2 linked regions of the Caenorhabditis elegans genome follow. The protein of the gene in region 1 interacts with the protein of each later gene in a pairwise test. Each region holds a gene or a part of one and is shown on either strand. Other genes may lie near its edges. The genes, in order: asd-2 and exc-7.

The links.
Region 2: the proteins of asd-2 (region 1) and exc-7 interact in a two-hybrid assay, tested with the Caenorhabditis elegans proteins (2 studies listed by BioGRID).

The regions. Positions count from the first base shown.
Region 1 is NC_003279.8:6,889,111-6,893,966, reverse strand, and holds the start of asd-2 (K Homology domain-containing protein), read left to right. Parts: upstream 1-1,823; 5' UTR 1,824-1,881; intron 1,882-2,444; exon of another isoform or gene 2,445-2,521; coding exon of another isoform or gene 2,522-2,554; intron 2,555-2,600; coding exon of another isoform or gene 2,601-2,863; intron 2,864-2,907; coding exon of another isoform or gene 2,908-3,218; intron 3,219-3,263; coding exon of another isoform or gene 3,264-3,409; intron 3,410-3,455; coding exon of another isoform or gene 3,456-3,582; intron 3,583-3,632; coding exon of another isoform or gene 3,633-3,871; intron 3,872-3,914; coding exon of another isoform or gene 3,915-4,006; intron 4,007-4,052; coding exon of another isoform or gene 4,053-4,713; exon of another isoform or gene 4,714-4,765; intron 4,766-4,856. Other genes in the region: C48B6.4 (Tyrosine-protein phosphatase domain-containing protein), read right to left, coding at 2,522-2,554, 2,601-2,863, 2,908-3,218, 3,264-3,409, 3,456-3,582, 3,633-3,871, 3,915-4,006, 4,053-4,713. UniProt on the Caenorhabditis elegans protein: RNA-binding protein that binds to the 5'-NACUAAY-N(1,20)-UAAY-3' consensus sequence in pre-mRNA introns to promote alternative splicing.
Region 2 is NC_003280.10:9,574,218-9,582,123, forward strand, and holds exc-7 (RRM domain-containing protein), read left to right. Parts: upstream 1-1,753; 5' UTR 1,754-2,090; coding exon 2,091-2,150; intron 2,151-4,071; coding exon 4,072-4,249; intron 4,250-4,975; coding exon 4,976-5,079; intron 5,080-5,582; coding exon 5,583-5,736; intron 5,737-5,844; coding exon 5,845-6,136; intron 6,137-6,230; coding exon 6,231-6,654; intron 6,655-6,702; coding exon 6,703-6,861; 3' UTR 6,862-7,318; downstream 7,319-7,906. Other genes in the region: Membrane-associated tyrosine- and threonine-specific cdc2-inhibitory kinase wee-1.1, read right to left, coding at 7,748-7,906.

The sequences.
Region 1 (4,856 bases):
AGTTATGCAGAAACTTGTGATAATCCGACGAATAAATATCAAAAACATCTCGAGTTCCCATTCAAGTTAATCATTTTCACAAATTTAACTCAACTAGATGATCAACTCAACATCTCTCCAGATACCTGTCACTAGAAATTATATCGTTCTGTTTCCTTTCACCATTTTCTTGCCTTCCGCTTTCATTTTTTCCTCATAAAACGAATCATGGGAACCCCGAAAAGATAGTGTTGATTGAACGGAGACGGATGATGGAAAAAGAAGAAAATACGCGCGCACACATGTTGTCAGTGATGGCTTTCCAGTGATTTTCCAATTTTTATTCGCGTGTGTTCTATATTGAGCTGCTCATCGAATGGATAAGTGTTTATTCTCTAATTACATTCGGATTGTTTTCCATATTGAACATAGTTAGTTACCGAAGAGATTATCTTCTCATCAAGTCTTTGCAATTAATGATATTTTCTAGAAAGGTTTTTTGCGGCGTCCATTTTTTCAAATTCTTGACGGAAATCCGACATTTAGAGCCAATCAATTGAGACAAAGTCGGGGTCCTTTAGTGCTTCCCGATGGCCTCAAATAGCAACAACTGGTGCGGAAAAGTGGGCAAAGAAGAATAAGAGGTCACCTGGCATCGTTACAACTGATCCGCCTGTCATTCTGTCCGTCTAAATCTCTCTAATCCGTAATCTATCGTCATATAAGTTTTCCTGAGCTCATCATCATGTCTTTCACTCTTTCTCTTCGTCCACTTCTCACTCATTTAAGCTTATTCCTTCTTCCTTTGCTTCTCGTTCGAATACTAAAAGAAAGGGTGTATGAAGATGATGACTATAATTAAATCTGCACGCGGCATGTATTAATTCATATTTAGTGGTGGTAGAGGACTCATAGTTTTCTTCATTCCCTCTACCGTGCAGTGAGACATTACTTTTGGAAAAATTTATTGAACTTTACAATAAATTTGAAATATGTAAAGTTGACATATATTTATACCGATACGATAGGGAAGCCAGCTTTTACGAGCACTTTTCCAGAAAACTTGTGTTTTACATCGAAAATACATTTAGCATGAATCTTTTCGCTCAAAATATTTCTGAAAATCTGAAAATGCGAACCCTAATTAATATTTAATTCGATTCGCGGATTTGCCAAATTCTCTTGTTATTCCTCGAATTTCTGGAAAACCCACATCTCGTTTTCTTTCTCTAATATAATCTTAATTCAGATTGAGCAATTCTAAACTTTCAATTTTTCCAATAAATTTTCTTAATACTCTTTACCCTTCCAATACCCTATCCAAAATACTTTCGTGTCAATTTTTCCAAGAATTATTCATATTTTTGAGGTGCAACTCTCACCCCAGTAAGAGAAGATTTTCATTTTTACACGAGGTAGCTTATAAATATCGATGAACTTATTTTTCCAAACAATCTGAGCTTCTCAAATCGAAGCAACAAGTGATATCACATTCAAAATAATTTCTGTCAATGTGGACAATTTCAGTCAGTTATTTGAAAAATACTGAAATTTAAAAAACCTTGCCATTGGAAAATATTCATTCATTGAAAGTATGCTTTCAATATTCTTGCCTCTTATTTCTTTTAGTGCCGCATTCCAACGATGACCTTCTCATTGCAATACATTTGAAAAATGAAAGTGTATGCCGACTGCCTAGGTGTTACGTAACTTGCCATCCAGCCGATTCGGTTTCTTCTCATTTGTTTATTCGCAAATAAAACACCTTATGCTTCTTAGCTCACTTTATCTTTATAGATTTTTATTAATTCAAAAATGACTCCAGTTTTAAATGTTTAATTTCCAGCCGTATTCCTGTCTTCACGCCACCCAATCGATTCTTCAAGTGCTAGGAGCTGTCAGGTAAGCTGTTATTTCTTTTAAAAATTTGTATTTAACTGTAAATAAGTAGAAAACCATTAACTTGAGAAAAGTTCTTCCAATATCCTTTCACCAATTTTATTCTCGTGTCTCGGACAATTCTATTATTCCATCATGCAAGCAATGTACCGGAAAATTGGTGCATTCATAAGGTGCATTCATAAGGCCATCCTTCAATTTCCTTTTACAAATGTTACCTTTTATTGTTTTTATTTTCGGTCCTCTTCCCCTTTACCTACTTTGTTCGGAGCTTTATAATCCTACAGTAATCTCTTAAATCTGAACCAGTTCCCATTGAATTCTTCTTTCCTCTACTTTTTAACATCGATGAATGTGGGTAACCACGGGTGTTAATATCGGGCAATAACGAAATAGTGCAGACTTCACTGGAGAGACCGTCAGAGAAATACCGACAAAGTATGTAATTATGTTCTCCTCCTTTCACCATCACTTCGATGTATTTACTTGCAAGTTTGGAGTTTGTTCACATTTTCAATTCTCCCTCTTATTCTTTTTTAAGGTCAATGCTTTCAGTTCAAAAATAATAAAGCCATATCACTTTATTAAAATTCCATAAAAATCTAGAATACCGTATTCAATATTAACTCTTTGCGTTGTTTTCTTAGGGACCATGAATCAGAAGTTGAGGATTTGACTAAAAAGGATATGGTTATAAATTCAAATAAATGAATCATTCAAACCTGACGTGATACATGCTCATTGATTATTTCGATGTTTCTAACTTTCGAATCAGTAACCTGATTCTTGACGATTTCGTGGAAATGAGTTACATTAACAACATTTTGATACTCAGACTCTCCCATCTTGAAAATCAGAAGTTGCTGTTTCTTCAGGTTCATCGATAATTGAGTCTCAATTCCGAGTCGTTTAACAGTATAAATTCCGCATGATTTCTCACTTTCACTGCCGTAGGGAAAATAGGAAGCACAGTTTGCAGTTTCTTCTGAAATTTAATTTTTTTTTGAAATCTGAGGTTTAAAATTTTACCCGGGTCTAAATCAGATATAGTGTGAATTGTTGGAATTCCTTTATGTAGAATCATTTGCCAAAAGTCTTGTGTCTGTTCTGGATCTGGACTGTTGGCATAAATTTGAATGACATTATTCAGACGGTTTTGAGATTGAATTGGATATGAGCCGAGCGATTTCTGTAGATCAAATTCCTCGGTTTCCAGTTTAACGAGATTTTCAACTTCGTCAGCTCCGCCAATTTGTCTTGATTGGCATCCAGACAGTGAGATCTGAGATGATGAAGAGGTCAGGAAACCCAAATAGCAAGATTTTTCGTAGAGAGCCTTTCTATAAAGAATGTTCGATTTTCATTTCACGGTATCGAAATCAAACCTAGCGTTGGCCGCCTGAATAGGTTGTGTCACGAAATCTGGAACACTGGATCCTTTCTTTTCAATGAGATATGAATTACGCTCCACAAGTCTATCCCGGAGAGGACTGAACTGCATTGGACCATGAAAAAGCCAGTGTTGAGTTGGCTTTAAAAATATAAGATTTATTATTTATTTTTTGATAAAAGCTTACCATATCATTCAAAAGATCTTTTCGAAGATTCTCAAACTCTTCATCTTCTTTTGTATAATCTTTTGATGGATATTCTTGAATATCTCGTTGACAGTGCCAAACAACATACCAACCATAATTTTCTGGTCTAAAAGTTAAAATCAAATCAGTATTAGTAATCTGAACACATTAACTTACACTAGTTTGCATCTTACTGCAAACTTTTGAATTTTGCAATGTCGATATGGATATTCTGGATCTGTCAATCGTCGTACAATTATCTGTCCACATTTGAGAATCTCTTGTTTATCGTCAGGAATATATTGCTTACAGTTGGCCCCTCGTTTCTCCAAAAACTTTCCAAACATTGTAATCAAGCTGATGCGATCTTTATGGCACTGAGTCCAAAAATCTTGTGTTCGAGTTGCGTCAGGGCCCTGAAAGAGTTATAGTGCATTTATTAATTATAATTTCACTTACCAGACATTCGAATTCCAACCCATGACCATTGATTGAAGACTCTACCATGTCAAACTCGTAGCTATTCAGAACTTGCTGACAGCAGGTTTTTTCTGAAATAAAATAACGATACTTGCGATGAAATAAACTGAAACTCACTATCTCTTTCATAATCCTCCTTTGTTGGAATCAATAAATTGGGCTCCGAGTCTTTGTGATTTTCATATTTTTCAAGAAGAGCATTCATATCATACTTTGGCCATCCATTTTCATCATCACTCAAATCAGTTAATAAATCATCAGCTTTACATTCAAGTTCATCAATTTCCTTCAAAATCTCTTCTTTTGGTTTTGATTTACCATAATTCCCAGGAATTCTTCCATGTTCGAGTTCGAAAAGTTCCTTTGGTGTAAGCATGGTTTTACGCTGTTTCAAAAATTCTCGATAGTTTTCCGAGCATACAAGTTCCCTTATATTGGAATGAGTTACATCAATTCCCTGATTGGCAAGATATAACAATGGATCAAATATCGACTCAACACTATCATCACTGGATTGTATATCAAGATGTTCATCGTCAACGCCACTTCCGGTAACATCCACCTCACTTCCAGAAGACACACGTGAGACTTCGGAGACATCACGAGAGATTCTTGAATCGGGAATCGATTCTTCGCATGTTTCTGGAATGACCGGCACTTCCAATATGAAATCTTGAGACTTTGCAACAACGGCGGGACCAGATTCAATATCGACTTTTGTATAATATCGATCCGCTGGTGGCGAGATTTTCGCCTTTTTTGATGATTTTGCACCCATTTTGTGCAAGTTGGAAGACTTCAAAACTCGTAGAAGTTTAAAATGATTGTCTTCGCAAGATTTTATAATCGTGGTTTATTGATCTTCCCTTGTGTACGTTGAAATCAATAATTATGTTTTCAAATGTTTTCACGTCAAAAATG
Region 2 (7,906 bases), on another chromosome or scaffold:
GTTAAAAAATCTAAATCCGATCGTGATCTCCTTCTTCTAAAGTCAAGTTTTGCAGTAAACTTTCGAAAATATCCTCCATTGACCGTGCTTTGAACTTTACAGTCTTTGAATCCGTGATTTGTGAAATCGAAAACCCCTAAATCCGAAATTCCCGAAAAGTCCAAAATCGCAAGGGTTAAATGTAGTTTGAAGTACTTAGTAGTCATTTATCTCAAACCAAAAGTCCAAATGGAAGGGCCATACCTAATTATTGGGAACGGATCGAAGGCATGAAATACTGTATCCTGTAAAAGGGCCTGAGCAATTATGAATCTCGCCGACGCGGGGGTACGTACTCTCATCCGGCCGCCCTCTCCTCTGCACCACTTTTCACACAACAATATGGGGGCCACCCCCCTCTACCTAACTAACACATAATTGAGTCCCCCTCTCTACCTATTCAGGTTTTGTTGTTCATTCAACTGTGCGTGTCGTGTGTATTTGTATGGGGTGGGACGAGAGGCGGTGAAGAAGAGGACTAATGGAAAACCACAATTGAAGAGTGCGTTTCATCGTCGATCACCGTTTCTATGGTAGTTATTTTGAGATGACAATGATGTCGATTTTTTTTATTGTTTCCTAGCATTCCATAGTGACCAATTGCCAAAGTTTTGTGCTTAGACAGGTTTTGGGATATTCTCAAGATCAGCGGAATCCTTTTTTTTTGTTGCAAAATTGCAGAAGCATTTGGATATTTTCTTGACTAGATGGTGCAAACTTGCGATGGAGTGTTTCCAGTTCAAGAAAACTGGAATCGGAGCAAGTAACAGGGTTACTGTAGAATGGTTGATGGTATTCTATAGGTTTATTTAACTCGTTCTTTCGTAGCCCCTACGTTTCTTTAAAAATTCAAACTTCCCAGAGCCACAAAATTTCCACCGGGCTTCACGTATTCCCTCTTACCGAACACCTATTCAAATACGTGTCATCTTCAATCCTTTTCCCCTATATCCTTCACTAACCAGGTCAGTCATGTTTGATCAACCATTGTTTCCACACCTGCCCTCACAAAAATCCTCAATCATGATGCGCTCTTATTCTTTTTTCTATGATGTTGGAAATTATGAAATTCAGCTTTCACACTGTATTCTTGTAATGTCTGGACCCTCACTATACACTTATTCAAGCCGTAATTGGCGTGTATACGTATCCATATAATGTGTCAAGTTCACCTGTTTCCTTCATTTCCGTCTGAGCACATGATCCAAAATCTTATACAACTGAATTCCTTTATATAGATTGTGGAAAGTTTCCTGCAATTTCTAGTAGTTCTTGTTTCCTAGTCTTTCGGCTTCTTATCTGCCTTTTTAAAACTTTACCTACCTCATAATCCGTACAGTTCCCATTTTACCTGTTACACACATACACAGGTATTTAGAAACTAAGCATCATACCAGCAATAATAAAAACAATAAATGTTCTTTTCATTGGCAATGAGATATATTCATGCGTCTATGTAAACCAATAACAAAGCTAATTAGAATTGAAAACAACAGGGAATTGAGTGGCAGAGTATAGGTATGTCATGCTGTGCGCTGCCATAATTCTGCAGCTTCAGTTGAGTGGAGTAGGATTGTGAAAAATCATGGTGTACAACTAGTTCTGTAAAGTTTCACTGATATTAAACGTTTTCCATTTACTTTTATTTCACTTCTATTTTTCTTGCTCTCTGATATGTTTTTTTAAATTAATTATCAAACCTATGAAATTACAGATCCATCTCCCCTAGTCTCGGCCGGCCCAAAACGAACGGAGCATATACGGGGAGCCGCGGCACACAAACATACACAAAATATAAATAGGCCACGCCCATTTGTGCATATTTCTACATATATCCTCGCGACGGGCCCCCCGCCCCCCTGAGCCCCTTTTCCTCTTCCTTCTCTTTGCTCTCACAACAACCGGAGCTCTTTCTTTTTGAAAAGAGCCCTCTTTTGTTTCCTGACAGACCAAGTGGAAGAAGTGGTGGTGTGTCAACTTCAGAAGACAACGAACGACGCATTTTTGGATAGGAAATTCGAATTTTTGAATTCCAAAATTCGGTCTTCAAAATGACGATGGAAGCGTTGCTAACACCGAATAACAACAATGTTCCGACGAGTCCCGTTCAGGTAATTTTTTTTTTCAATTTTTATTAGGAAAGATCTATATGAAAGTCCAGAAGCAGTAGAAAAAAAAAACAAAAATAAATACGGTTTTCAAAATCTTTGAACATTGAGGTCTACAAAAAGTCCAGAAATCTACTCGACTGTAACATTTCATATTTTGGTTGCCTAAGATTTTATCAACAAAAATTCAACTAATAAAATATAGAACCATAGCAAAGATACACATTTTAAAAGTAGAACAGTAAACTGCGGTAATTTTGAAGAGCTGTAAGTTTGTTACAGGTTCTAACTGTGAATGGTTTTTTTATTAGTTAAATTAAAAGTTTAAAAAAAGCTTTTAGAACCTGATCATGACAGTTGTTTAAAATTCGGACTAGGTAAACTGGATGCTTAGGCTCCGTTCAGATCTAAAAGCTAAACAAATTGTTGAGCCTTGAATTCTAGTAATAACCATAAATCTGAATATTGTTTCTTCCCCAATGTCCAATCCGTCAGTGAGCCCGAGTCCAAACTTGGTATACATGCGTGTGCATTTGACGTGTCATTCTTTCAAGAAAGCTTCCCAATTCCCAAATGCCAATTTTTCAAAATCCGAGAAGCCTTCTTCCTTACTCTTCTTCTCTTTTCTCCGCCTTTCCGAACCACTCCTTTTCGAAAATACGTCCCATTCATTACGCCTTGAGGGAGGAATGAGGGAGGAATAAGGACCAAAAATAAAAATATTTGTTTTGTGAAAGAGCTCAGAAGCTCAGATTCCTGCGTGCTCATCCACCTATATTATGATGATGTGTTGTGGTGTTGGTGGATGGGAGTGGAAATGACATGAAAATTAAAATATGGAGAGAAAAATTGAAAAATAACAAGAGAATACTAGATTTTTAGATTTCCTGTTGAAAATTGTTTTCTTTTTTTCTAAAAAGTTTTTTGATTATTGAAAAAATATAGCTGAATTAACAATATCATAATTGTGCAATATATGACTAATGAAATTGGTAGAAACGAAGTTTTTTTTTTAATTTAAATTTCTAGAGGTACTATATATATGGAATATTCTAAAACTCAGCGATTTTCTTCAGTTTTTTTGAAGTGTTTCTTCAAAAAATTGATAGAAGACCTATAAATTAAAATTTAAAAACTTTTAAAATTTTGTGAAAATTCAATTCGAAATCTACTAGAATTTATATCACAGTTTTGCTAAATTACGTTCCTCCTCAATACCGGACGGTTCAAAATTTTATTTCTATAAAACGCATATGGAACTCTTTAATCAAAGATCCTATAAAAAACTCTTAAAGTCTATTCATTCCAACAGCGTAGAAAAAAACGTTTGCATATATTTCATTTCATACATTATTCCCTCTCAAATACCCATGGGTATTGTTGCTCTTCCAGTGAGCACACCAGGAGGTGGGAAGAACATGCGGGGGGCTCCATCTCTTCCATATAGACTTGCTCACGCACAGGAAATTTGAGACGTGGCCAAATAATGGACAGCGAAATGGATGAATTCTCCGGTTACTTGTACCGAAGAGCCCTCCCGCGCGCGAGAAAAGAATTGAAATTGAAAATTGAGATCTCCCGGTGGAATGAAAGATTGGAAATCATAGGGGAAATATTTTTGGGTCAGATGTAACCTCCAAAAATGGAATATATAGTCAGATTGGACAAAGATGGCAGAAAAACATAATAATTTATTTATTCCCAAATGAAAAAAATGAACAATTTCCGGGGTTACCGACGCTTCTCACCAATGCTAGGCACCCGAAAATATACGAGGTGTATTATTTATGTAAATTGACAAAAACGGGACTTCTATCTAGGGAGTTCAGAATTTTTTACATCTGAAAATCGTAGATTTTCATTCGAAAAACCGGGACCATTATACAAAAATCGCTTTTAAATTTTAAATTTATATTTTTTGCAGACAACCTACACAAGTACACAACGATACTGCTCCGCGCCAAATGTGGATATTGGAGAATCAAAAACAAATTTAATTATCAATTATCTGCCACAAGGAATGACACAAGAAGAAGTTCGGTCCCTTTTCACATCGATCGGAGAAATTGAATCTTGTAAATTGGTCAGAGATAAAGTAACAGGTGAGGAGGAACTTCTATATTATTCATTATTTTATTTTAAACTTATATATTTTCGAAATCCAAACATTATCTAGCTAGATCACCCCTTGCCTTATCATTTTTATTTCTGACTGATTTTTGATTCCCAACCACGAATTGAGTTGCTCTAACCGTTTTTTGTGTCTCGCCGAAAAAGTTTAGCATGAAACTAGATTTTGACGCCTCTTTTCTGATAGATCACAAATAATTTTATTTTCTTCTTTCGGATCGATTTTTGTAAATCTGTACATGTGTGCGTGTGTGATTGCTGCTGCCCCGCCCGCCCTACTCCCCCTAAAGTTTTTCATTTTTCGGTTATTACTTTTTTCCGTGATGTTCTGATATTCGTTTCAACTTTTCATTATTTTTTTCAAAATCACTCACACACACACACAATTGTACACCAAGAATTCACATTCACTTTTTGTGCTAAACATTTTTGAATAGGGATTGTTAAAATTCTAAAGTTGTGATATCTAAATACTTTTTTGGAATAGTTTCATACCATTAAATCATGTGAACTAATTTAGAATAAGCAGCAAACTGTTTGTAGCAAAAAGATGTAGGGAGATTATTTTTCAGAAAGAGAGCTCTACAAATACAATCAGAAAATCTAAACCCGTAACCTATAAATAATTGTTCTTTTGTTATATTTTCACACTCTTTCTCTCTCTTCTCTCTTCGGCATTTGGTGTTTTTTCATTTCAGGACAGTCCCTTGGTTACGGTTTTGTTAATTACGTCCGAGAAGAGGATGCTCTTCGTGCAGTCAGCTCATTCAATGGCCTACGATTGCAGAATAAGACGATCAAGGTGTCAACTTTTTTTTTTTTTTTTCGGAAAAATATTATTATTTTTAGTTGATTTACATGCTACTTGTCTTTTACTTTACTTTCACTCTTTTTTATTTTCAAAAAAAGTTTTTAATTTTTCAATTGTTTGGGTGTTCCTTTGACTATTAGAAAACACCCCCTTGCTCCTGTTGTGCAATTTTTGTTTTAAGTTTTCAATCTTTTTATTTTAATATTTTAATTTCAAAATTTAATTTCAACTTTAATTTCGCGAAACCCCTTTCCCGATTTATAATGATTTTAGCTTCTAAATGTGTGTCTAAACGTCCGTTAAACGTCTCACGTCTTTCAAACAATCACTAATAGGAGCAATAGATGTGCACAAAACGCTTAGAAAATGTTTAATTATATTTTTACTTGAAAATTCGCATTCTTCATATATGTAAAAGAAAAACATTCACTGGTAAAAATACAAAGTTAAATTTTAGAATATTAAAATTGTAATCTATAACTTGAAATTTTCAGGTATCATATGCCCGTCCATCAAATGATCAAATCAAAGGTTCAAACTTATATGTTTCTGGAATTCCAAAATCGATGACTCTGCACGAATTGGAATCGATTTTTCGGCCATTTGGACAGATTATCACATCTCGAATATTGTCAGATAATGTAACTGGTGTGTTTTTAAAATTATGTGAAATGTGTAAATTTTCAAAATTAAGAAAAATATAGTTGATTGTTTACGGAATATAATTTGTTTCATTTTTTATTAGAGCTATTTCAGGACTCTCAAAAGGCGTTGGATTTGTACGTTTCGACAAAAAAGACGAAGCTGATGTTGCAATTAAAACACTAAATGGAAGTATTCCATCAGGATGTTCAGAGCAAATCACAGTGAAATTCGCAAATAATCCAGCAAGTAACAATCCGAAAGGACTGCTGAGTGATCTGGAAGCCGTACAGCAAGCCGCCACAACACTGGTACCATTGAGCACAATTCTTGGAGCACCGACGCTGAGAGCAACTGCTGGAGGAATCGGACCGATGCACCATGCTCCAATTACTTCAAAGTACAGGTAAGCCCGAAGAAATCTTGATTGATAATAATTGTATTTTCAAGTTTGTATATTCTTCTTTTTACATTTTCAAGACCAATTTCCAATATTTCAGATATTCCCCAATGGGCGCCATCACTGCAGTATCCCAGCCAACCGCTACACTTCCTGCTGACTATTTGACAACTTCTGCGCTTCTTCAGATGTCTCAGTTGAATGCTCTTGCTGGCCTGAACCCTTTTGCCACAGCAACAGCCGTACCTGATTTCACAGCTTCATTAATAGCGCATCAGCAACAACAACACGCAGTTGCTCAACAACATGCTGCACAAACAGCGAGCCCTCCGGCAACAAATGGACAAGTTGCTGGATTAGCAGCTCATGCTCAGTTATCTGCATTGTCAGCTTCAGTTGCTGCCACGTTACCGCCATCAGATACTGCTGGATATTGCCTTTTCGTATATAATCTTTCATCAGATACTGATGATACACTGTTATGGCAGTTATTCTCACAGTTTGGAGCAATTGTTAATGTTAAGGTAAGCAAGAAATTTTAAATGGAAAATTTTTTACTTGAAATATTTGAGATTCTACGAGACCTGACACAACAGTGCAAAGGATATGCATTTGTATCGATGAGCAACTACACAGAAGCCTATAATGCAATGCTTTCTCTGAATGGCACAAATTTGGCTGGAAAGACGCTTCAAGTAGTTTTCAAGTCATCAACTCCATATCGAGCTTAAACTTTTTTGCAAAAATATTCTAATTTCAATCATTCCAGTCACTTGTCTCCCATTCTCTTTTCATTTTCTTCTTCTTCCCCAACCAAAGAAATTGTGATTTTCCCCCTCTGAAATTCCAGTCACTTTTTGTGTGCTACTAGTCACCCCCCCCCCCCCCCCATTGTGTTCCATCCCCTTTCATGAGCAACTGTGAGCAAAACCAATCGAATTCCGGTAACGAAATAAGCCACGCCCCTTGAGAATAATGAGCTTCTGCCCACCCCTGTCCCAAAACCTTGAATCAGCTTTAACATCTTCAAAACTTTTATCAATTTTACCTAAAATATGCCAAATCCTCCGTCACTTTTCAGTATTTCGTACAGTTTTCTGATTTTTATACTGGGTTCCTTGTTTTTCTTTTACAAAGATTTTTTGAAATATTAAAACTAAAATGTGTATAATAAAAATTGTATACCAATTTCAGTGATAAATAATTTATTTTATAGAAAAAAGAAGAACAAAGCTGATGATTAAAACTGAACTCGATTTTCTGATTGGAAGAACTTGTACCAATCGATGATATGAGATGTTAAAAACTGGAATTGATATTTAACCGATTGAACCTGAATGAAAAACAACGGACCTGAAAATTAAATTATTATTTTAAATTGACATTTTGAAAATTTCCCCCGTAATTTTATTGCAATTTTAATTGAAAGTTTATTAATTGTGAAATGTGCTTTTTAAGATGTTGCAAACACCTAATTACTATTTTCACTTTTGAGATATGTTAATTTCTAAATAACTTTTTTTTAATTTCCTAATTTTAATTTTCAAAAGTCAAAATAACAAACGAATTTTATAAAAGAAAAAAGAGCAAACTTACCTGTTAACTTACATTCCCTTCCTATTCATCAAATAAATTTTTCCGTTGGAATAACTTTTGAATCTTTCTGGGTGGACTGACTTCCGGCATTGTTTGTTGGTATCGCGATTTTTTGACAGGAGTTCTTGGTGGAGAGAAGACTTCATACTCGTCTTCATCATCTTCTAGATCGAAATTCAG